3 linked regions of the Zea mays genome follow. Each later gene encodes a partner of the first gene's protein in a complex. Links are inferred from orthologs where the notes say so. Each region holds a gene or a part of one and is shown in the gene's direction. Other genes may lie near its edges.

Region 1 (7,684 bases):
TGTCAAACTGAAGTTCAAGTCGTCCAAGATGGTGGACTCGTCTCTGCGCCCGCAGCAGCAGGATTCTTTGGAAGCACAAGTGCCGCCTGCTGATGCTGGTGCATTGGAGAGCGCTGCTGTCCCTGAAGGCTACGGTTGTAATGGATGGGCAGCAAGCAGAGGGGCAGGGGCTAGAGTCGAGTGACACGGATAAGGAAAAGGTTTCAAGGTTTCAAGTTGGTGGGTCTGCCTTCTGTAGAGAGCAACACTCCGGATCGGAAATCCGATTCAACAGATGAGCGTCCTCCGAGCAAGCGGGAAGCTCTTTTGGGAAGCAAAAAAATGGAGGATGCGGTGGAGCTGAGGAGCTCACAGGAGTTCGAAGAAAAACAGTACGAAGAGAAACTTGTATTAATGAATACAAGTGGCGGCGGCTTCAATGACCCACGGACGGAATGAATTAATATGGAGGCTTATGTGAAACTTACTAGCATTGTGTTTTGTATGGACTTGAACTTGTTTCAAATGGATTTGAACTTCTTTCTTATGGACTTGAACTTGTATAAATATCGAATATGATGCTTTTGTTATGATATATTGAATATGGTACTTGTGTTGTGATATATTGAATATTGTGCTTGTATTGTGCTGTTACTGAACTGTTATGGAGGCTTCCCATCCAGAGAGGGAGAAAAATAAAACTGGATATTAAAAAAAATTATTCAGTAAGAATGTCGGCCCACACATTCTTATATGACACAGCTAGGCTAGGGACCGTGCGCACAATAAGAATGTTTGCCATGTCACTGGCCGACACTCTTAGCATAAGAGTGCCGGTTGCGTGCTGAACCGACACTCTTAACGTAAGAGTGTCAGTCCCACACATTTATACGAATAAGAGCATCCATTTCAGGTCACCTAAGAGTGTCAGTTGGCCGACACTCTTATACTAAGAGTGTTGGCTTATTTCAGTAAGAGTGTGAGTTTTTGACCGACACTCTCTGCCTTGTTTCTTGTAGTGAAAACATGCATCGAAAAGAATAGTCCTGTAAAATCAACGCTACAACTCGATTTTCCCAGCGTAGTTAGGACCTCGGCGGCATGTCAGCTGCCAGTAGTGTACCTAAATGCCAGCGTAGTTATGATCTCGGCGCCATAGGTCACGACGCTGAGCCGTGTTATCTTGGTGGCATGGTCTATGACACCGAACAAAGGGCCCAAAAACGATATTAAACCGTTAAGAATCCAAATATGTTTTTTACAAAAAATGCTAAATTGCATAAATATCAATACCCATTGATAACAAATCCCACCATATCCATTCTAATGAATAATTATCCGTGGTTATTTATCCACACGCGTACTCCACTATCATCTCTAGTTACATATAGTAGCAAACCTCTCTGATTATCCTGCTTGATGCCATAACTAGTAGCATGGTGGACAAATACGTTGAGTACTCGACCTTTTAGACATAATTTACATGCTCTCTGAGTATCCTGTTCAATAATATGTCTGGTGGTGCATTAAACAAGTCCGATGGTTATAAAGTGTATGCGATCTCTTCTTTAAGCTCTATTGGTGTCCTATTTGGTGCACCTTATCTGATGCACATGTTTTGTTGTGCATTGCCATGATGTAATGTTTAGCTTAAAAATATTGTATAAGTTATTTAATCTTATAGTTAGTAATTAATAGATTTCTATTTATATAATTGTCTAGATGGTGGATTATTGCGTATAGATTATTTAATAATCCAAATAAATATTTAATTCATAGGAACATTCAAATATTTTTATAATTAAGTCCCCGCAATTAGGGCCAGCTCTTGGCATAGGGCCAACCCGGACGGGTAGCCGCCCTAGGCCCCCAAATCATAGGTGCTCCACATCATATAGTTAATTATATAGCTAATATGAGAGCTAATGCTGAATTAAATAATCTAATTTCCGAGTTAAGAGTTTTTAGTATGTCAATAAGATAGATTTCTATTCTATTGCTTATATAAATTATCAAGTCTTATTTATTATACCTGTCATGGTGGCATCAACTGAAATGAGTTTTTCGATATTGAAATAATTGAATAACTATTTCAGATCTACAATTTTTTGAGAACGATTGAGTGGTTTTGCCACCTATACGTTGAGAAAAATATTATATTAGATCAACACAACCATTGATGATTTTATCTCAAGAAATATTAGAAGAGGCTCGATTTTTATGTTCGCCCTAGGCCCCCAAATCTCAGCTCCGACCTTGCCTACAATCCATTGGCGGACAGCAGATACTCATTTCTTCATTTTTTAAGTTCTAGAGTATAGTATTAAAATTTTGAATATTTTAAAATGTAAAAATGAGCTACCAAACCACCGAGCGCGCAGGCCAATAGAAGCCATTTCTTGCATCGACCCATTTAGAGTTTACTGGTTTCGCTTCTGAAACGGGCCTTTACAAATTGCAAAAAGCCCACTCCAGCCCAGCCCAGCCAGTAGCCGCCTTCTCAGTCACACCCTTTATCACTTTCCCCAAATTAGAATCAAACCCTAGCTTGTCCTCCTCGTCGATTTCCCCTGACCCCCCACCAGGGCACCAGGCGACTCGCCGGAACCCTAGGTAGCCGCAGATCCTACGCGCCGTGCACGCGGCCGCCTCCATGGCGACGCTCAAGGATCTCCTACCGGCGCCCAAGACGTCAGCGTCCACCTTCTACGACCACAGCAGCGACCCCTGGTTCAAGGAGCGGTACGGTGGGGAGTCGGCGCAGGCGGCCGCGGCGACGAGGCCCGCGGCCGCCGCCCGGCCCGTGCCACCTTACGGAAAGCGGACGGGGTTCGTGCCGCGACGGCCGGAGGACTTCGGGGATGGCGGCGCCTTTCCGGAGATCCACGTCGCGCAGTATCCGCTCGGCATGGGACGCCGTGATGATAAGGGCGGATCCAAGATCCTTGCGCTCACCGTCGACGCACACGGCAGCGTCGCCTTCGACGCCGTCGTCAAGCAGGGGGAGAACGCAGGCAAGATCGTCTACTCTAAGCATAGCGACCTCGTGCCGAAGATAGCCACTGCCGATTCCCAGGCGACGTCGGACGACGACGAGGAGCAGAAGCAGATCGAGGAGACAACTGAACGGACCAAGGCCGCCTTGGAGAAGGTTGTCAACGTCCGCCTCTCTGCAGCTCAGCCCAAGAATGTGCCGACTCATGATTCTGAGTCCAAGTTCATCAAGTATAAGCCGTCACAGCAATCCGCGGCCTTCAATTCAGGTGCAAAGGAGAGGATCATTAGGATGTCAGAGATGGCGGTGGATCCTCTTGAGCCACCAAAGTTCAAGCACAAGCGTGTGCCCCGGGCGTCTGGGTCACCACCTGTACCAGTGATGCACTCGCCGCCACGGCCAGTTACAGTGAAGGACCAGCAGGATTGGAAGATCCCACCTTGTATTTCAAATTGGAAAAATCCAAAGGGTTACACGATTCCGCTTGATAAGAGGTTGGCGGCTGATGGGAGGGGTCTGCAGGAGGTGCAGATCAATGATAACTTTGCAAAGCTTTCTGAAGCATTGTACGTGGCAGAGCAGAAGGCGAGGGAGGCAGTGCAGATGCGCTCCAAGGTTCAGAGGGAACTTATGCTGAAGGAGAAGGAGAGAAAGGAGCAAGAGCTAAGGGCACTTGCACAGAGGGCACGTATGGAGAGGACTGGTGCCCCACCTGCACCATCAGGTGTGCCTGCTGGTGGTGGCAGGGGAGCAATTCAGGATGTTGATGAAGTTATGGATATGGAGCAACCGCGTGAACCACGGGAATCACGTGAGCAGCGCAGGGAGTCTAGAGAAGAGAGGGAAGGAAGGATTGAGCGTGATAGAATCCGTGAGGAGCGCAGACGCGAGAGGGAGAGGGAGAGGAGGCTTGAAGCCAAGGATGCTGCAATGGGCAAGAAGAGTAAGATCACAAGGGACAGGGATCGTGATATCAGTGAGAAGATTGCTCTTGGTATGGCAAGCACTGGTGGTGCAAAAGGTGGTGAGGTTATGTATGACCAGCGTCTGTTCAACCAGGACAAGGGAATGGACTCTGGTTTTGCCACAGATGATCAGTACAATATCTACTCTAAGGGTCTCTTCACAGCGCAGTCCACGATGTCCACGCTATACAGGCCTAAGAAGGATGGGGATTCTGATGTATATGGTGATGCAGATGAACAGTTGGAGAAGGTTATGAAGACTGAGAGGTTCAAGCCTGACAAGGGATTTACTGGTGCTTCAGAGAGGACTGGCAAGCGAGACAGGCCTGTGGAGTTCGATAAGCAGGAAGAAAATGATCCATTTGGTCTGGATCAGTTCTTGACTGAGGTGAAGAAGGGTAAGAAAGCTGTGGAGAAGATTGGAGGTGGAGGAACCATGAAGGCGAGTGGTGGGTCCTCAATGAGGGATGATTATGATGGTGGATCTGGGAGGTCCCGCATCAACTTTGAAAGGGGGCGCTGAGGTATTTGCTCTGCTTCTGCAGGTTTGGAATGCTTTCTCAAATATCTTCTAGCAGAATGTCATAAGAAGCTGAACTCTGATAAGAAAGAGCATGGCTCCTGTGCTGTTATAGCTCATGTGCCTACTTTCAGTGGTTGTGCTTAAGAGTGTACTATATGGATCCTATGATGTCTATGTACTATGCGTGTATCTGTTCATTATAGGAGCTATGAGCTTCGTTTATCCATGTTCCATCAATTGTTACGAACTTACGATACATGTTATTGGGCTCTATTATTTCATCAGTTATCATTTTGGGATATGGATGGACTCAACGTGGCTATTTGTTGCCATGGTTGCTGCACATGTGCTCATTCTGTTTATGAATTTCTTGGTGGTGCCTATTAGATTATTTCTTTCTGCTTTTTATTGCGGGGATGTATTCATGGTTTACTGTTGTACTCAATAAGATTTTGCTGTGTCATGCGAACTGTGGTTATCTGTGACTCCATTTCCTAGTTCAGTGTGCTTGGTTTGAGTGGAGTCTCAGTCATGCTCTAGTTTTTGGTTGACATTAGTTTTCAGTTTTTCTGCAGTGTCCTTAACTTACCTATATCCAGTTTTTACCCTGTGAACTTGTGATACTTCAAGGTAGCTTTTATTGAATTTTAGTTATTTTCTGCCCTTATAAATATTGGGATCCTGGTTTGTTCTAATTCTCATGTAAACATTTGTTCATTTTACAAAGAAGCAAACCTTTATAGGGCAATTTTTGTTTTTTGTTTTTGATGCAGAGCTGTATCAAGTTGGTCGATCTATATTTATTGTTAAAGTTTCATGAGTTTCTTTAAAAGAGATTTAAAATTTCCTGATAATTGAGCACATATATGCAATGAATGCATGGCCGATTGCTATAACTACCGTGGACATTGCTTTGCTGTTTGCATGAGCAACAGATGATTGAAACTGGGGCAAAACGTACTTTGCTTACTGCTATCTTGTAGTAGAGTATATATGTTTCTGTGCACGCTTGCAATCAGAGATTTGATGACAGTTCCAAATTTACTGAAGCAGTATGCACACATGTTTTCTTTCCCCCACACACGGACACACCTATGATAATAATGCGGTACTAACAATTGGCTCAGAGGCTCCACCTTATGAACATTAAGACACCGTTTGGTTCAACACGTTGCCTTTTTTTTCAGTTTTACAAGCAACTTTATCAGTGAAGTTAAAGTTGATTAGCGAACCGTTTGCAAAACAGGCATACAGCTCAGTTTTTTAGTTTTACGAGCAACTTTCTCAGTGAAGTTAAAAGCTGTTTTGGTGAATCATTTGCAAGACAGCTTTGTATGTACATTTGTTCTTACAGAATCTTACAGGACCGATGAGTGTGTTTTGAAGCTGTGAAAAAGCTATTGTTTTCAGCTTCACGATATTCTATTCCTATGTGAGATCATGATTTAGGCTTCGGCATATTCTTTTCCTATGTGAGATCATGATTTAGGTTTCGTTTGGCTCACAGGACCGACGGGTGTGTGATGAAGCTGTGATAAGCTATTATTTCTAGCATCATCATATTCTATTTCTGTGTGAGATGATGAGTCAGATTTCGTTTGGCACACTTTCACTTTACTAGCGAAGCCGTTTTTTCTTTCTCCAACTTTGTGTTTTCTTCTTCAACGTCATGAATAACTTCGTGGAGTTAAAACAGTTTTGGTAAACCGTTTGATAAAACCATTTCACATGTAGCAGTTTGCATTGCAAAACGATATTCTGCACGTCTATATTTATTTGTTTGGTTAACTCTCAATCTATGTGAATGGAGTGGGATTGGGTGGGTTTAAATCCCAAACAAGTCAAAGTTTTTCTAAATTTTTTCTAATCTAATCCAATTTATATATAATGGGAATAACTAAACAAGTCCTTGCTGGGGCTGAGGGAGCAGCCAGCCCACAGAAAGCTGCCAACACGTACAAAGGGAAGAAATCAGACTGACGAGAAACAAAGAAAGACAGCCGATAGATGGAACGGAAAAATCATCCTGTCTCCGTAGTCCGTAGGAGTACTTTGCTTCGAGATGGGCCGGCATCTGCTCGTGTCTGACATGTGCTATCAAATGGGCTTCAAAAAAGGACTATCGGGCCCATCGTGGGTTTCCCTGGCACTTGGTTTTCTAGTCTTTTGTGAACCGAACCGAACGAGTGTGTGACATTTCCGCACATGGCCACCACCTCAAAAAAAAAAAAAGACGGAAACAGAGAAGAAGAATATTTCGTTTCGTGAACAAGCTGGTTTTGGGGCCGTAAATCGGCCAGCACATTTCGCATGGAGGCAGCCCCGGGTTGTCCTGCACCCGGTTTCCTTTGCTCGCCGTCCATCTCGCTGTGGTTCTGGATGCTAACGATCCCGCTTCCTGTCTGTCATGAGGATTGAGAAGACGCCACTGCGCCCCTCGTCGCTTTTGGCCGCATCGATCCGTTATCTTTTAAACTGTGCAGTCCAGCAGCTTTCGATAGTGTTCATGATCTCTCAGGGACCCAGGACAGCCAATTTCAACACTGCCGACCAGTCGCCCTCGCCCCAGCTCCTTCGTTTTCGAACCTTATCAAAGTAGAAGAAAAAAAATATTCAGGATAGTCTGTACATTGTACCTGCCAATTATACCATTCACACAGGTGAAAGATCCCGCTACTCCTTTCTTGTTTTTAGAGTCGGCCAGTCTCATAGGTCACCAGATCAGACATGGATACTTCCTTCTTTTCCTATATATATATATATATATATATATATATATATATATATATATATATATATATATATATATATATATATATATATATATATATATATATATATATATATATATATATATGCACTACATATTAAGAGAGCAAGAGTAGTCTGCCTCCCTCGTTCTGCCGTTCTGCCGTCCATGGATCTAGACCGTCGATATCGCATCGTATGTCTGCGTCTCCCACACTCCATCCTTCTCCACCGCGTGACCACCCAATCCCTAACCTCCCCCGCACTCTCTGTCGCGTTGCCCGCCCCCTGCCTCCACCGCCGACGCGACCTCTCTCCGCCTCCCCTCCTCCCTTTGCCTCCACCGCCCCTCCCCCAACGTCATCGCCACCGCCGCGCCACTCGCTCCCGCGGGATCCAGATCCGGTGGACGTAGAGCAACAGCAGTGGGAGACATGCCCCCTTGCACAGGGGTTGGGGCTGGGGCTGTGCCGC
Region 2 (7,674 bases), on another chromosome or scaffold:
TTTGGTTTATATATATATATATATATATATATATATATAGAGAATATTTGTGGAGTTCACCTACACTCTACTCACCAGGGCACCACCCTTAGCAGGGCTGAGACAATTAGCATTGTAGCCAAGGGCGCATATAGAGGAAAATAGAGGGGGTTGCGGTACTTTATAAAAATAAAAGGTATGTCCGAGTTTAAAAAAATGTGTTTAAATTTTGAGGGTAATAATTGGATTTTTGATTTTCTAGCCATCGCGTCCACACTTTATAACCTAGCTTCAGTCCTAATTGTGGCCATCATACAACACTCCACCTACTATTGGATAGGGCTAAGTACTTACTCCCTCCGGTTCAATTTATAATTTTTTTGATTTTTTTGTCAAATTTGACCAACTCGGCTTTTTTCAAAAAAATTATGACAAAATAAAAAAAATTCAAAGACATACTTTATATATATGATATGTTAAATGATATAACAATAATCATTAATAATAATTATGATTTTTTGAATAATACGAGCCGGTCAAACTTAGGATAAAAAAAGTCAAACAAATTACAAATTGGAAAGGGAGAGTACTAAAAAAATACTTACGTGGTACATAACCACTATTCCAGCTGTTGCTGTCGACGGACACACCGGACAGTTCGATGGTGCACCGGACAGGACACTGTTCACTGTCCGGTGCCTGCCACGTCAGCAAACCGTTGGAGTTTGGAGCGGTTGACCGTTGAAGTCTTTTGTCCTCTTGCTGCACTGGACAGTCCAGTGCGTCCTGACTTCGCAACTCTAACTTATGACTTCTGCATTATGCTCTTTTACTGTTCATCGCAGTCGACCGTTGGGTGCAATTGACCGTTGCTCCGTTGGCTCACCGGACACTGTCTGGTGCACACCGGACAGTCCGGTGAATTATAGCGGAGCAACTCCCAAAGAATCCCGAGAGCGGCCAGTTCGCGAGTGCCTTGGCCTGGGCACCGGACAGTGTCCGGTGCGCCACTATCAGCACTAATGCTTGTCTTTGCTCTAAACTTTGTTGAGTTCATAACTTATTTTCTTTGTTGGTTTGTGTTGATTTTTAAGCACCTGAGATAAATAACAATTAGGCAAACTAGTTAGTCCACGTGGTTTGTGATGGACATCAAACACCAAAATCAATTATGGGAAATGATTAATCTCATTTCCCTTTCAGAAAAGGCTTAGGTTGGGGATCAAAAGGGAGGAGGGAGTTGTACCATCGCCGAGTAGGACAAGCTCAAAGGAGACGCCAGGCGGCCTCGAGTTCATTGGCGACAGCGAGGCGGGGTCTTTCACGACAGGCGGCCTCAAGCCCATAAGCACGTCGAGGTCTTCCATCGCGCGGCACCGCGATGAGTGCCGGGTAGAAGGACACTTGCGCGACGACGACGTGTGGGGGTGGGGGGTAGCGTGCGCATCTGGGTGGTGGGAGCGTGGCGGTCACGGACCTATGTGTGGGTGGGGAGCGCGGTAGCCACGGAGGCGGGGGCATGGTGTACTCAGTGTGGATGTCCACGCTCAGTCCTTATAGAGTAGTAGAGACTGGAAACTTCTGGACGCTAAAATTCTCCACTACAAATTATCATGTGTAAGAAAATTTTACCACACTTTTATAAACCATTTACGAATGAAACCAGTATAATAGGAGAAAGATCTTAGCATGCCCCTATTTGTTTCGGCTTCTGGCAGCTTCTGGCCACCAAAAGCTATTGCGGACTGCCAAACGCTCAGCTTTTCAGCCAGCTTCTATAGAATTCGTTGGGGCAAAAACCATCTAAAATCAACCTAAACACATAATCGGTTGAGTCGTTGTAATAGTAGGAATCCGTCACTTTCTAGATCCTGAGCCCTATGAACAACTTTATCTTTCTCCACACGTAATCGTAATGATACTCAGATACTTCCCACAGCCACATTCTCCCCATAGCCAGATTTTCAAGTTGGTCAGAAAAAAGCTGAACCAAACATGCCTCATAGATTGCCACATATATGGCTAGCCAAAACTATCTAATCTAGCAATGAAACTCGGGCAAGCGCGGCACCGAAAACAAGTCAGGGAGCAGACGTCCAAACAACCATCCGTTTCGTGTCCGTTGTGTCGGGACCCTGCCGCGTGGGCCACTTCACGGTCTTGACCTAGTCCCGTGCGTTCGTTGCTGGGCCGCCTCGACCGCAACAAAGACTACAGGGGGGAGACACATCTCTCCCCACCTCGCTTCGCACCTCTCCAGCCGCCGCCTCCTCCTTCGCCGGCGTCGACGATGGGTGACTATGGCCACGGCGGGGGGCAGATGCGGGGCAACCCGGACTCCCGCCCCAGGGGCCAGGGCCAGCGCCCTAACGTCCAGCAGCTCAAGCTCGTAAGCCACCGATCCCCTCGTCTCCCCTGCTAAACCCTAACCCTAGCTGCCTGATTCGTCTCTGATCCGTGGTTTGGTTTCACCTCGCTCGCAGATGGGGCAGATCCACCCGACGGGGCTCACGCCCAACCTGCTTAAGCTCTTCGAACCGCGTCCACCGCTCGAGTACAAGCCCCCGCTGGAGAAGCGCAAATTGCCGGCCTACACCGGTGAGTCGACGGATTTTGGGATTGTCTAGTAGATGTTTTCAAGGGTTTGCTCACCGATTGTTTGGTGTGGCTACTGATTTGGATGCAGGGATGGCACAATTTGTGTCGCACTTTGCTGAGCCCGAGGATCCAGAGTATGCTCCGCCAGTACCCAAGTGTGAGACCAGGGTATGTTTTTGTCTATATGCTGAGTGTCATAGGTTTGCCTGCTATCATATCTGTACAACGTTCTCTAATCAGACTTTGTGACTTGGTTTCTGAGGTAGTCGAATTACACCACAGTGCTAGTGTGCAACTGGATGGTGTGCCAAGTATTTTTCGTAAAGAATTACATATTGTTAGAACAGTAGCTTCCGAAACCTGCTTGTAGCACACGATATCTACTGAGCGCATGATATTTTGGGCATTTCTGGTCAACTTTAGTAGTTGCTTCTGCTACAAAAGCATGCATGGTTTGACTATGTTCTGGATTTTCAATGTTTTGAGATGATATCATGCATTCAACTGTGTGAAGGCATTGTCACATTTCTTTCTGCTGAGATCACATGGGCCTAAATCATTCTTGAACTGCACAAATTCTCTCTCTCTTAATAATGCATTGGATCATATCTTACTCAATTTTGGGGCATATCTTAGCATTGTTCTACCCTTTACTATTTTATTTTATCCTGCACCTGATTATTATATATATGCTCTATATATGCAGGCAGAGAAGAAGGCTAGAATTCGCAATAATAAGCTCGAGCAAGGCGCAGCTAAGGTTGCTGAAGAGCTTCAGAAGTGTACGTCCTTAGGGCATGGTGTCACCCCAATTATTTTAAAGTTATGGTTGTAATAACATCATTGTTCTGATTTGGTTTTATGCAGATGACCCACAAAGTGACCCCAATGCTACTGGAGATCCATACAAAACACTCTTTGTTGCTAGACTTGTAAGTAATTTTGCCTGAAATTATTGGCAGTTTGGCACATTCCTTAGTCCTTACTGATGAGAATTTGATGGCAAGTTATCTTTGTAAAACCAAGCTAATTGGCTTTGCCATTGTTGCAGAACTATGAGACATCTGAGCAGAGGATCAAACGCGAGTTTGAAGGTTATGGTCCTATTAAAAGGGTAAGTAATGTGGTAATTCCTGTGCAGGTGAAGTTATTGCACTTTGGTAAGGTTTATGGATTTTTCAATCATTCTAAAATGTAAACAATCATTGGACAAAACTGTGGAAAAGTTGCCTCATTAGTTTATGGCTTCCTTTTAAGCTCCTCCGACAAGTGTTTGCAACACCAGGGGTCCTTATAACCGCTTTCTTGCTCCATTTCATATCTAGAATCAAAATCTGCAGTTTCTTCATTTCCTTTCTGGTTTCTGAAAACTTCTCTGGAAATGCTTTCAAAGAAACTGGGAACTCTCAGTTTCATAGTCATTTTTGGTAAACTTAGCATCAATGTTTTAATTGAATTTTTGTTTTTGGAGCCAACAACTTGTTTGCTCTGTTTCACGCACATGTATAGTGTTTGCTCTAGAATGTATTCCATGACAACTTTTTTTTTATGGTTTTGAGCTGTGAATTTGATCATTTAGCTGTAATTCATTTTATTTGATTACTTAATTATGAAATTGGTTCTAGAATAAAATATTTTCAGTAGTTTTATACAGTTCAATGCAATGATGTAAAATTTTACCTAGTTAAGGGTATTTAAACATCAGACAAGAAATTTTTCATGGGGAGGGGTGTGGAGTAACTCTTGGCAGTTGTGTTGTCCTAAACTAAGGAAATAACAATCATTTCTGTGGCACAGAAGGTCTACAACTCTTCACAATCTCTCTTTTTAAGCGATCTTTATACCTTTTGGGGCTTAGATGGAATACATTTCAAATGGAAAATTATATAGGGTTCAGGCATATGTATGCTCGCTGGTAATTTAGTTAAATCTTTTGGACTTTCATTGGAAAGCCATTTTACTATGTGCATGGTTGGTACAACCAATTAATGACAAGGCATCTCTGGGAACACAAATATGCGTAAACAGGTAATTATGGCTGCACCTGTATGTGGCCCAGGTTCTCTATTTCCTAGTACTTTTTTGTCGTCAGCAAGAAATTTCTTGAGAAGAGCAAATTGCTTCTAACGAAGGTAGTAAATGGTTGAGCTGTTCTCTCATTCCACAGATTTGCATCTACCATAATGGTCAACTGGGGGTAAACAAGCTTGAAAAATGCTGACAGTGGCACAAATTAGCATAGATCACTTTGTATTTTTCAAAAAGCAGCTTGTCTGTAGACAGGGATTTTCTACTGTATGTAGGCTTAATTGGGTAGGCTTGCTGGTGAGTATAGTATTTATAGTTCCTTCAGATTAGCTATGAAAGCTATCACTGCTACCAAATTTTGGTTGTGGAGCAATCAGCAACCTTACACAATACTAATTGCATCTCTCAACTCCTAGAGTCGAAGATCCATCGATTTTGTGCATAAGGGGTATACATCACTCACTTGGTATTTATCACCTTTCTGTTAACTTCGTTATCATTCTGTTTGTTTGGAAAACGAAGGCTGAACAAATTTCACCGATGGAGGGCAACTTGGTATAGTATTTAGTTCTATCGTACACCCTTTCCTTTAGTATAAAATTCCCTGGTAAGGGGATATCCAATTTATTTCCCAACGTATGCCAATCGGCCAGACAGCGCTTTTCCTCCAACTGTGTTGATCTGTGCTGGATTTCACTCCTCGTGTGGAAGCTCTACATGTGCAAGGTTAGCACGGCTGTTTTAGGCTTTATGCCTGTCTGTCGTGCAGCATAAAATATGCTAAAAATTAAAAGAACAAACACAATTACAACTAAAAATATAACATATTCTTAACTTCAGGGGAACTTTCTTATTGAATATTGTTTCATTACTAAATTTGATCTTTCCAGGTTCGTCTTGTAACTGAGAAAGATACAAGTAAACCTAGAGGATATGCATTCATTGAGTATGTGCACACACGAGACATGAAAAGTAAGTTTCTCTTTTTGTTGCAAATTTTCCGTTTGGTTTATTCTCTTTCATAATAGCTTACATTTTCTCTGCTAACTTGGGTTCTCACCAGATGCCTACAAGCAAGCAGATGGGAGAAAAGTGGACAACAGGAGGGTATTAGTTGATGTTGAGCGAGGCAGAACTGTTCCAAATTGGCGTCCTAGGAGATTGGGTGGTGGGTTGGGATCAAGCAGGATGGGTGGTACTGATACTGACAAAAAGGATTCCACTAGGTACATCTGTTTCTCATTTTGATCACCTGTAAAAAGTTATTGCTTTTAGAAAGAGGCACTGGAGTCAAACTCGTCAGTGATGCTTATACTGGTCATATGTGTTCACTTTGCTTCTACATGTTTGTTTGTTCCCTTTGTCTTTTATATGCTTTTCTGTAGGAGGCCTTCTGTACCATCTGTGATCTGATACATTGACATGCCATTGTTGATGTTGAAAAGTGTGATGACCTTGGTGTATTACTTGTGCTACATTTATGTTGACATTACGATATCTGATTGTTGTTAACACGTATGCATATCTTATTATCAGGGAGCAACAACAAGGTGGACGCCCTAGATCAGAAGAGCCTCGGAGGGATGATCGTCGTGCCGATAGGTAAGCCATGGGGATTGTTGTGTTGATATCATACTTTTGATGCTTATTAATTGCTTCTTCGTGTGATTATTTTTACTTGAAGGGATCGTGAAAAATCTCGTGAAAGGGTACGGGAAAGAGACCGTGAGGAGAGGACCCGTGAACGTTCGCATGACCGGACTCGTGATAGAGATCTACGAGATGAGAAGCATCACCATAGAGACCGTGAGAGGACTCGGGATAGGGAGAGAGGAAAGGACCGTGAAAGAGACCACGGCCGTGACCGGGAGCGTGATCGTCGTGACAGGGACAAGGATCGTGGTCGGGACTATGATAGAGAAAGGGACCGTGGTCGCTCTCATGATCGCCATCGTGAGAGAGGCAGGGACCGTGGTGAAAGAGATTATGAGCGCACCAGCCATGAACGTGACCGTGGTCACATGCATGAGAGGGATGCAGACTATGGCAATGGTGGGACAAAGCATGACAAAAATCTGTCTAGTTATGGGCAGGATTATGGCTATGGTCAGTATGAGCAACACAAAGGTCATGATGCATATGGTTACAGTCAAGATGTACGTGGACATGAAACTGAACACTCAAAGCGGCATGAGCACGAATATTATCGTGTTGACTCGTATGGTAAAATGGAAGCTAACTATCAGATGCCGCCAAACAATGCTGAGCCAGAAGGCCCTGAGGAAGGTGAGGCATATGAGGAAGGCGACTACCAGTATCACCGGTCTGGTGAACACATGAAGGAAGCTTGATTGCAGCGATGAGATTTGCCTGCAGCTTTATACTGATACACAACGATGGTTTCAATGTTGGTTCTTTGTATGAATTAGTTTCAGCTGCATAGTGCCTGTCAGTTGTGTTCTTCCATGTTGGGGAATTCTCAAAAGGAAGCAAAATCTTGCCCAACTGCGTGGATTTTTGAATTTGAAGCCTATGGCTGCCAATATCTTGTGGAATAAGATATTTGTGTAATCTGGTTGTGGAGATCCATATGATCTGCCGTTATCCATCTACTCTTCTGTTAAGAAGTTTTGTATGACAGTTCCTTCAAATTATTTGTTCCAACATTTTGCAGAACTTCAGAATTGTTGTTCTATTTGGCCTTCTAACAAAAAGTTGCTTGGTAACAACTGCAACCTTTGTCCTCTACATCCAAGCACATAGGTCTCATCAATAAAATGTAATCATTTTTTTTTGTAATTTAGTCTTTTTTTTTTGTAAAAATTTAAGTTCAGCCCGTAGGATGACGTTCTATCGGTTGTAGATCTTTTGCTCGGCGTTTAACACGGCTCGGCGTAATAGCTTAAGGTACTAGATACACTGGCGTACCCATGTTGTGTTAAAGCCTACGTGACACTTAGCTTTCCTTGGCGGAGAACTAGTTTTAGCCAGTCTTCTTCCTCGTTTTCTTCGTTTTCCATACCGTACAATTGCCTCCGGTTGTCGTTTTTGAGTCTGAAAGCTTCGATT
Region 3 (7,684 bases), on another chromosome or scaffold:
GTGAACAAACGAGTGTTGATATGTCCGACCTGGTTAGAAACGAGCGCAAAGCATCGGGTTTTTTTTTGCATTTTTCTTGGGATGCCTGAGCAAAGGCAGAGCTGGCTTGGCCAGTGGCCACCATTTTATTGTTGAGGTGTGGTGCTGTGTAACACCACGATTAGTTTGGTGCTTTTCTTTTGTAGTTTTTACATTTTATATATAGGTTTAATTTAGATCATTAGGTCTTCATATAATCTAATGGTGAATATTTTTCTCCTTTTCTCGATTAATCTTGAGATTTCAGTACCCTCTCCGCGCACGTGGATGCTTCTTTTGACTATGTTGTATTAATATAAATATATACATTCCTCGTTTGCCATTAATGACTTCATCCTGTGCATTCTCTCGATGATAAACGCAGGTTTCTGAAAGCCAGGAAGTTCGATTCCAACAAGACAATGCAAATGTGGTCAGAGATGTTGAAAGCCAGGAAGTTTGACTATTTTTTGGGTAAGAAAATATGCCTGAACATTGTTTAATAATGAGATGGGTCCAAACAATTGTACCAGTGTGCCGGAAACCCTGAATGCCAATAGTGCCTTCTGTTCCTTCTGTTTTGGAATAGCGAATATTGAGTATGATACATAAAATTTGTTATCTTAATGCCAGGAACATATTTGATCACGCCATATGTACATTTCCATTAAGGAAGTGTAATTTATTTGAATCGAGAAAGAGGGCACATGTAATAAAATTCAATATTACTATTTTACATCATTTACTCCTGTGACCTACTATGTTAGTTATAATTATGATAATATGCTTTATTTTTCAGCATTGACCTGATTCTCCAAGGGAAGAAGCAATTTGACATGGATCCTCCCGCCGGCCCCTTTCGGTACTAAAGTGAGGTGCCCTGTAATTTAGCTCTGACTCTAGGGATCATACCAAGTATTTGGTCAGGTGAAGAGAAATTTGCACAAGTGTTACTAATATTAATATCATAAACTACAAAGTATTTGATATGTGCATGCTTAAACTGCATTGTCTCAGTCTTGTTCTAGATACACCAGCAGTCAACCATATACATGGAATCTGTAGTATAGCTATTTGTCACTACCTTGTCACTTGGGAGCATTGAATTAAATACCAGTGTTTTATATATCAGGTTCTGTTCTTCAACCTTGGGCATGCCCACCCATCCATACTGAGTACTGACACCGCTTGCATTTGGTCTAGATATGTGTGGAAGTTCTTGATCCCTCACCCCCTTCTATTTTTATTTTTTTCTTTCCAGACTTTCTATGCTACAAGATCTGAACAATATAAAGTACCACCTTAAGAAAACAAGTATATTATTTTGATTTTGCATACCAGATTTTTTGTGCTGCAAGATTGTACATTTGTTAATTCTGAATGTGTTGCCTGCAGGAGGACCCGACTATGATTGAATCCTACAATAACAAGAGAACATCTGGCTGATCTGGTGGTGAAGGAGTTACATCTACGCTAACCATGGTATGTAATAATTGTGCTTATTTTTCCATCGCGCTTTATTGCGGAGGATGAACACGATGTTGCTTGCAGGAGGAACCGACTATGATTGAATCCTACAATAACAAGAGAACAGTTGGCTGATCTGGTGGCGAAGGAGTTACATCTACGCTAACCATGGTATGTAATAATTGTGCTTATTTTTTCATCGCGATTTATTGTGGAGGATGAACACGATGTTGTCTGGTTTTGGTTGCAAAAGGATTAACCGCATGAGTGCCCAATTTACTCACAATACTTTGTGGTAACAGAAACCATTGCCTTGACTGATTGTTATAAAAGATGTTTAGCTGTTGTTGATTAGCACTTGACTAAAATATTATTTTGTTGATTTTGGGCAGCTCAAGGTCATTGGTGATGGTGGTTATCCAAACGACCACTATGACAAGGATGATCATCAATGAGGCCTTGTGTCGATAATTATAATAACAACTTTGTGAAACATGGTTTTGCCCCATCTTTGCAGCATCATATTGTCCTATAGTATTGTAATTGATAAGTGTTTGAGCATGAAGCAGGTTAGGTGGTGTTCTACACCTACGAATTACGCAATCACATATAGATTGTTTCTATGGGTTTTTAGCCATGTACTGTAGTGAATCTTTATTACTGGCATACAACATCTCACAACAGTTCTAATAATGAGCAATAAACTGATATGTATTTACTGGTTTGGTGGTAAGCTTGAAGTTTGCCGAGTAATATGAGTTTAGGCTCAAAAAGCTACCAGAACCTACATGTTATTGTCTGTGTTACTTCATTTGTGACTAGATGAGTGCCTTTGCGTTGCAAGAAGAACATTTATCATGAAGAACATTTATCATGATAACTTATGTACAAATGAGTTATAATGTTATAAGTTATCGTGATATATGTTTCCGTTGCAACGTACGGACACTCACCTAGTAGAGATATAAGTGCAAAAGATTGTAATATAGTAAGGAATCTATATGCCTAGACTATAAATAGTGATATAGGGTAACCTCCACTGCGGATAGCCTTAGGGTGTGTTTGGTTTGGCTTTTGGCTTTGGCTTTTGCCCCCTAAAAGCCAAAAGCCAACCAAAGGGCTGGATCTAGGAAGCAGCTTTTTCTAAAAGCCGACTTTCTCGTAGTGCAAAACTGAAAGCACCCCTGGACCTGCTTTTAGTGGCTTTTGGATGGAACTGTGAAAACATATATCGAAGAACTTTTAACGACTTTTAGTGGTTTCCACCAAACGATTTTTAGCTTTTTAACAGCACACAGCCTACAGCAGCTTTTTCCACAGCTCACAGCCCACAGCAACTTTTTCCACAGCCACAGCCCAACCAAACAGACCCTTAGTATAGGTCAAGTAGATGTTATTTGTTGCAAAGGGTGAACAAAAACGGCCCATCAGACCACCGCCGCTGAAACCCATGGCGGCCCACGAGGCCACAGCACGCCTGCAGCCTGCAGGCTGCAACGTCGCGGTCTACCGCACGAATCTCGAAGCGTCCCGCACCCACATTTGCCCATCGCCAGCTATATCACCACGACCACGGGACTCCTGTCGCAGGTTCCAGTATTCCACCACGCGGCGTCGCCTGCCGAACCCCGAACCTTCTCGAGGTCGAGGCCCCTCCCCTTTCGCCAGGAGGTGCGCACGGCACGACTAATCTCCACACTCCCCACTAGCTTTTCTTCCCAGTTTGCTCCGATTTTGATTCCATGGTAATCGCCGCCTGTTCCTCTCGTCGTCTCGTCCCTACCTTTCCTCTGATTGCGTGGGATCTCAACTCAATCTCTCCTTATATAGTTATATGTAGCTGTTGAGTTCGTTCCGGTTTTGTTTGACGATAGTTGAGTAGACCCCTGGCAATCCACCCTTGCACGGTTCTTTTAGGTTTTTTGTTCGTCATTTGCAGCTGCCATTCTGCCTAAATTGTTTAAGCGAACCTCCTCCGGGGCTCTCTTTGTTGAAGTTCGCCACGGTGGCCCATGTCAGTGTGATGTAAGGTTGGAGTTGGAGCTGCAATGACATAAAACATAGAAGCCTTGATGCATGATTGAATACGGTACATGTTATTATGTTTGAAATACCCGTGTAGTTTGATTAAGCGCGTATCAGTAGGTGACATACAGTGCAGATTTGTACATTTTTTTTAACACATAAAAGGCAACTAGAGAATATGTTATAGACTCATAGTGCTCTTTGTTACAATTTCTGTTGAAGCATCATTCTTTCTTGGTCAAGGTCTCATGGATGCTGCTACTTCATTTTTTTTAATAATGCTCGGCATATAGTCATAGGCCACCATGTTCTTCCTGTTGTTTCGATTTTCGACTAGGATATTTTAAATGAAATTCCGTGTCTTGGTATTACCATGCTGTTGTTTTGACTTTCGACTGGGATATTTCAAACAAAATTCTGTCTCTTGCTATTACCATTGTATGACTGCCTCCTTAGAAAATTGGTGTAGGGTTTTAGGTAAATGACACATTCTTGGAGAACCATATTCTGGTGACCGTACTATCTTTGGCATGCTAAAATTTCGTTGTGTTTGCCCCAGCATTTTCCCATTTTTGAGACAATGATGTACTTACCCGTGTTTAACTGCAGAAAACAATGAGCAGGCGCAACAGCCGTACCATCTATGTAGGCAATCTCCCTGGGGACATCCGTGAGAGGGAGGTTGAGGATCTCTTCTACAAGGTGGATTGCAATTGTTTAACGTGTACCTTTCTTCGATTTTTCATTTTGCAAACAAGTGTTGGTTGGTCAGGGCATATGCTAATTCCTAACAAGTCAGTAACATTTTCTGTCTCAGCAAGACAGCAATTTCAGTATCCTATTAATGTGAGAATGTAGTATGGAGCTGAATGTTCACATTTTTTATTTATGATATTAACTAGCATAAGTCTATCTAGCATTCCCTTAGAGCATCTCCAAAATCTTATTTAAAGTCTTCCCTAGCTTAAAATTCTTGGGAAAAACAAAAAAACTAGCCTTCAACAGCTTCCCTAAATCCTGCCCAACTTATTGATAGCCCCAAAACTCCCCTCATTTGTAGTTACTAATAGGGAGACTTTTGGTTCCTCCAATACTATTTCCTACTGCCACATCACCAGTACTCCCGCCACTACATTGCCATTTTTGTTTCCGGCACCCCATCACCACTACCTACGTCGTCCCATCGCCGACCCATACGTTGCCGGCCATCCAACGCCAGCTATTCACCGTCAACTGGCTCATTGTCTACGATGCCCCTTTGCCACCCTGTCCCCCAGTTATGCTCCACTACCTACCAGCTACAACACAGTGGGAAAAAATAACGTGAGAAAGATTACCTAGGTCAAAGATGACATAATGCTCGAATGGATGCGGGCATTAAAGATGATCTGACCTAGTTTAAATTATTTTTGGTATATATTTAGGGGAACTGTTGGAGATTAAAAGAAAATCCACTCCCAATAATTTTTAGGCTGCTCCCAAAAACCATGTTGGTGCAGCATTGCCTGGTCCCAAGTCCATGTACAAGTAGGAGGGTTGCGTGAGGCGTGGCAAGCAAGCTATAAAAACTTAGCCACTCATAGAAAACTGTTGGGGCATAACCCTCTTAGCGACGTGCCATATCGGAACCCGGGTATGGTGTTAAATGGGAAAGGGCCGGGCAGCCAGCCCCTTGGTGGCGCGTCGTGTCGTGATCTGGATGCGGTGTCAAGTGAGCAAGGATCGGGTCGTCGCTTCCTTAGTGGCGCGCTACATCGGCGCCCGGGTGTAGTGACAAATGGGCAAGGGTCTTCGCATCTGTCTCAACGGGTGCAAGGGGTAAGGAAGCTAGTTGAGCCGGCTAGGATCCGTGTAGGTAGTTGGAACGTAGGGTCCCTTACAGGTAAGCTAAGAGAGTTAGTCGATGTAGCGAGCAGGAGGCACATTAGTATCCTATGTGTGCATGAGACAAGATGGAAGGGGCAAAAAGCGAAGGAGGTGGAGAACACTGGTTTCAAATTTTAGTACTCAGGAACAGTGGCAAACAAAAATGGAGTATCCTGATTGATAAGACCCTTAAGGATGGAGTGGTGGACGTCAAAAGGCAGGGAGATAGGATTATCCTAATCAAAATAGTTTTGGGGGATGTAGTCTTGAACATTATAAGTGCATATGCCCCTCAGATTGGTCTCAGTGCGAGCGAGAAGAGGAAGTTCTGGGAAGACTTAGATGGCATGGTCAGAGCAATACCCACCAATGAGAAGCTTTTCATAGGAGATCTCAATGGTCATGTAGGTTCAACAAATGCATGTTATGAGCTGGCTCATGGAGGTTTCGGGTATGTTAGTAGGAATCAAGGAGAGGATATTTTGGACTTTTCTGTAGCCTACAACCTAGTGATAGCCAACACTTTCTTCAGAAAGAGAGATTCTCATTTGGTGACTTAGCAGTGGCCATCGTTCGAGCCAGATCGACTTCGTTCTCACAAGGAGAGAAGATAAACAAGCATGTTTGGATTGTAACGTGATACCCGGAGAGTGTTGTGCCCCAACATAATCTTGTGGTGGCTGACTTCCGTTTTTGGATCCGTACCCATATGGATAAACAAGCCAAAATTGCGAGGATGAAGTGGGGAAACTCAAAGGGGAGACATCCGAAATTTTTAGAGAAAGAGTTTTTGTGGAGGGCGCTTGGTTCGAAGAAGAAAATGCATACAACATGCGGATGAAGATGGCAACTTGTATTAGGAAGGTGGCGTCATAGGTGTTTTGGGTGACCAAAGGGAGCAGAGGTGAACCTAAGGATACTTGGTGGTGGACCGAGGACGTTCAAAAGGCAATAAAGGAGAAGAAAGAATGTTACAGGAGCTTGTTCCATGATAGGAGCGCGATCAACATAGTGATGTATAAGGTGGCAAAGAAGACTGCAAGGCAAGCTGTGAGTGAGGCAAAGGGTCGAGCCTATGATGATCTTTATTGAAGACTAAGTACAAAGGAAGGGGAGAAGGATGTCTTTAAGATGACTAGGATTCGGGAAACGAAGACGAGGGACCTCAACCAAATTAAATGCATCAAGGATGGAGATGGATCAACTCTTGGTGAAAGGACAAGACATCAAACAACGGTGGCAGAGTTATTTTGACAATCTTTTCAATGGTGAGAATAAGACTATGGACACCCAATTGGATGACTCCTTTGATGATTTTTTTCTAGAACGCGTAGGAGAACTGCGCATCTTATATATTAGAGAGGAAAAAACATATTACAACAGAGGAGATGTTGCTGAGCAACTCTCCCCTTATAAACCCGAAAGTGATTACAGATTGTTGCTGAAACTTGACCCGATCACGCCCAGGGCAGCAACTGAGCCCAAGCTCCCAAACTCCTTAGCTCCTGCTATTACCCAGCAAACGTATTCATCCGAGAAACACCGGAAAATCGTGGGTAATGAGGGAGCCTCCCCATGGAACACTGCTCTGTTTCTCTGAAGCCATAGACCCCAAGCCCCCAGGATGATTAGAGAGTTAAGCCCCTTTTGTCACGTCTTGACAACCCTAAGGCTTGCCTTTCCCCACCAGTCTGCAAAATTCTCCTCATCAGCTGTTGGAGTGAGGTGCCCCAAACCAATAGCAGCAAGACTAGTGTGCCAAAATTGCCGGGCAAAAATGCACGCAGTAAGTAGGTGCTGAATTGTTTCTTGGGCTTGATCACACATGGGGCAAACATCTGGGTGTGGCATTCCCCTCAACTGTAATCTGTCGGCTATCCAACATTTGTTCCTTATAGCCAACCAAAGGAAGAACTTGCATTTAGGAGGAGCCCAGGTCTTCCATAATCTCTTCCAAGGCTCAAAAACAGTACACAGGACCCAAGAATCAGAGGTCAAAGAAGCTTTAAAGAGGATGAAAGGGGGCAAGGCAATGGGCCCAGATGGTATTCCAATAGAGGTGTGGAAATGCCTTGGGGATATTGCTATCGTTCGACTAACCAAGTTGTTCAACCATATTTTTCGATCAAACAAGATGCCCGATGAGTGGAGCAGGAGTACATTAGTAACAATCTTCAAGAACAAGGGAGATATTCAAAGTTGTACCAAATATCGAGGGATTAAGCTCATGAGCCACACTATGAAGCTATGAGAGAGTTATTAAGCATCGCCTGAGAGGAATGACACATATCACCATGAACCAATTTGG

The links.
Region 2: pre-mRNA-splicing factor prp45 (region 1) and U1 snRNP share a complex: the UniProt entries of both Arabidopsis thaliana proteins name them as parts of the spliceosome. The link is inferred for Zea mays from reciprocal best matches to the Arabidopsis thaliana genes SKIP and U1-70K.
Region 3: pre-mRNA-splicing factor prp45 (region 1) and pre-mRNA-splicing factor SF2 share a complex: the UniProt entries of both Arabidopsis thaliana proteins name them as parts of the spliceosome. The link is inferred for Zea mays from reciprocal best matches to the Arabidopsis thaliana genes SKIP and SR30.

The regions. Positions count from the first base shown.
Region 1 is NC_050099.1:184,590,887-184,598,570, forward strand, and holds pre-mRNA-splicing factor prp45, read left to right. Parts: upstream 1-2,507; 5' UTR 2,508-2,632; coding exon 2,633-4,462; 3' UTR 4,463-4,805; downstream 4,806-7,684. UniProt on the Arabidopsis thaliana protein: Splicing factor involved in post-transcriptional regulation of circadian clock and flowering time genes. Associates with the pre-mRNA of PRR7, PRR9, ELF3 and GI, and is necessary for the regulation of their alternative splicing and mRNA maturation.
Region 2 is NC_050100.1:42,240,621-42,248,294, reverse strand, and holds U1 snRNP, read left to right. Parts: upstream 1-2,188; 5' UTR 2,189-2,269; coding exon 2,270-2,368; intron 2,369-2,462; coding exon 2,463-2,577; intron 2,578-2,665; coding exon 2,666-2,745; intron 2,746-3,283; coding exon 3,284-3,359; intron 3,360-3,444; coding exon 3,445-3,509; intron 3,510-3,628; coding exon 3,629-3,691; intron 3,692-5,495; coding exon 5,496-5,577; intron 5,578-5,668; coding exon 5,669-5,831; intron 5,832-6,141; coding exon 6,142-6,207; intron 6,208-6,289; coding exon 6,290-6,956; 3' UTR 6,957-7,298; downstream 7,299-7,674. UniProt on the Arabidopsis thaliana protein: Mediates the splicing of pre-mRNA by binding to the loop I region of U1-snRNA.
Region 3 is NC_050098.1:57,765,815-57,773,498, reverse strand, and holds the start of pre-mRNA-splicing factor SF2, read left to right. Parts: upstream 1-3,071; 5' UTR 3,072-3,227; coding exon 3,228-3,230; intron 3,231-3,305; exon of another isoform or gene 3,306-3,574; intron 3,575-4,119; coding exon 4,120-4,212; intron 4,213-7,684. UniProt on the Arabidopsis thaliana protein: Regulatory splicing factor that modulates alternative splicing and gene expression in specific cell types. Autoregulates its own expression. Probably involved in intron recognition and spliceosome assembly.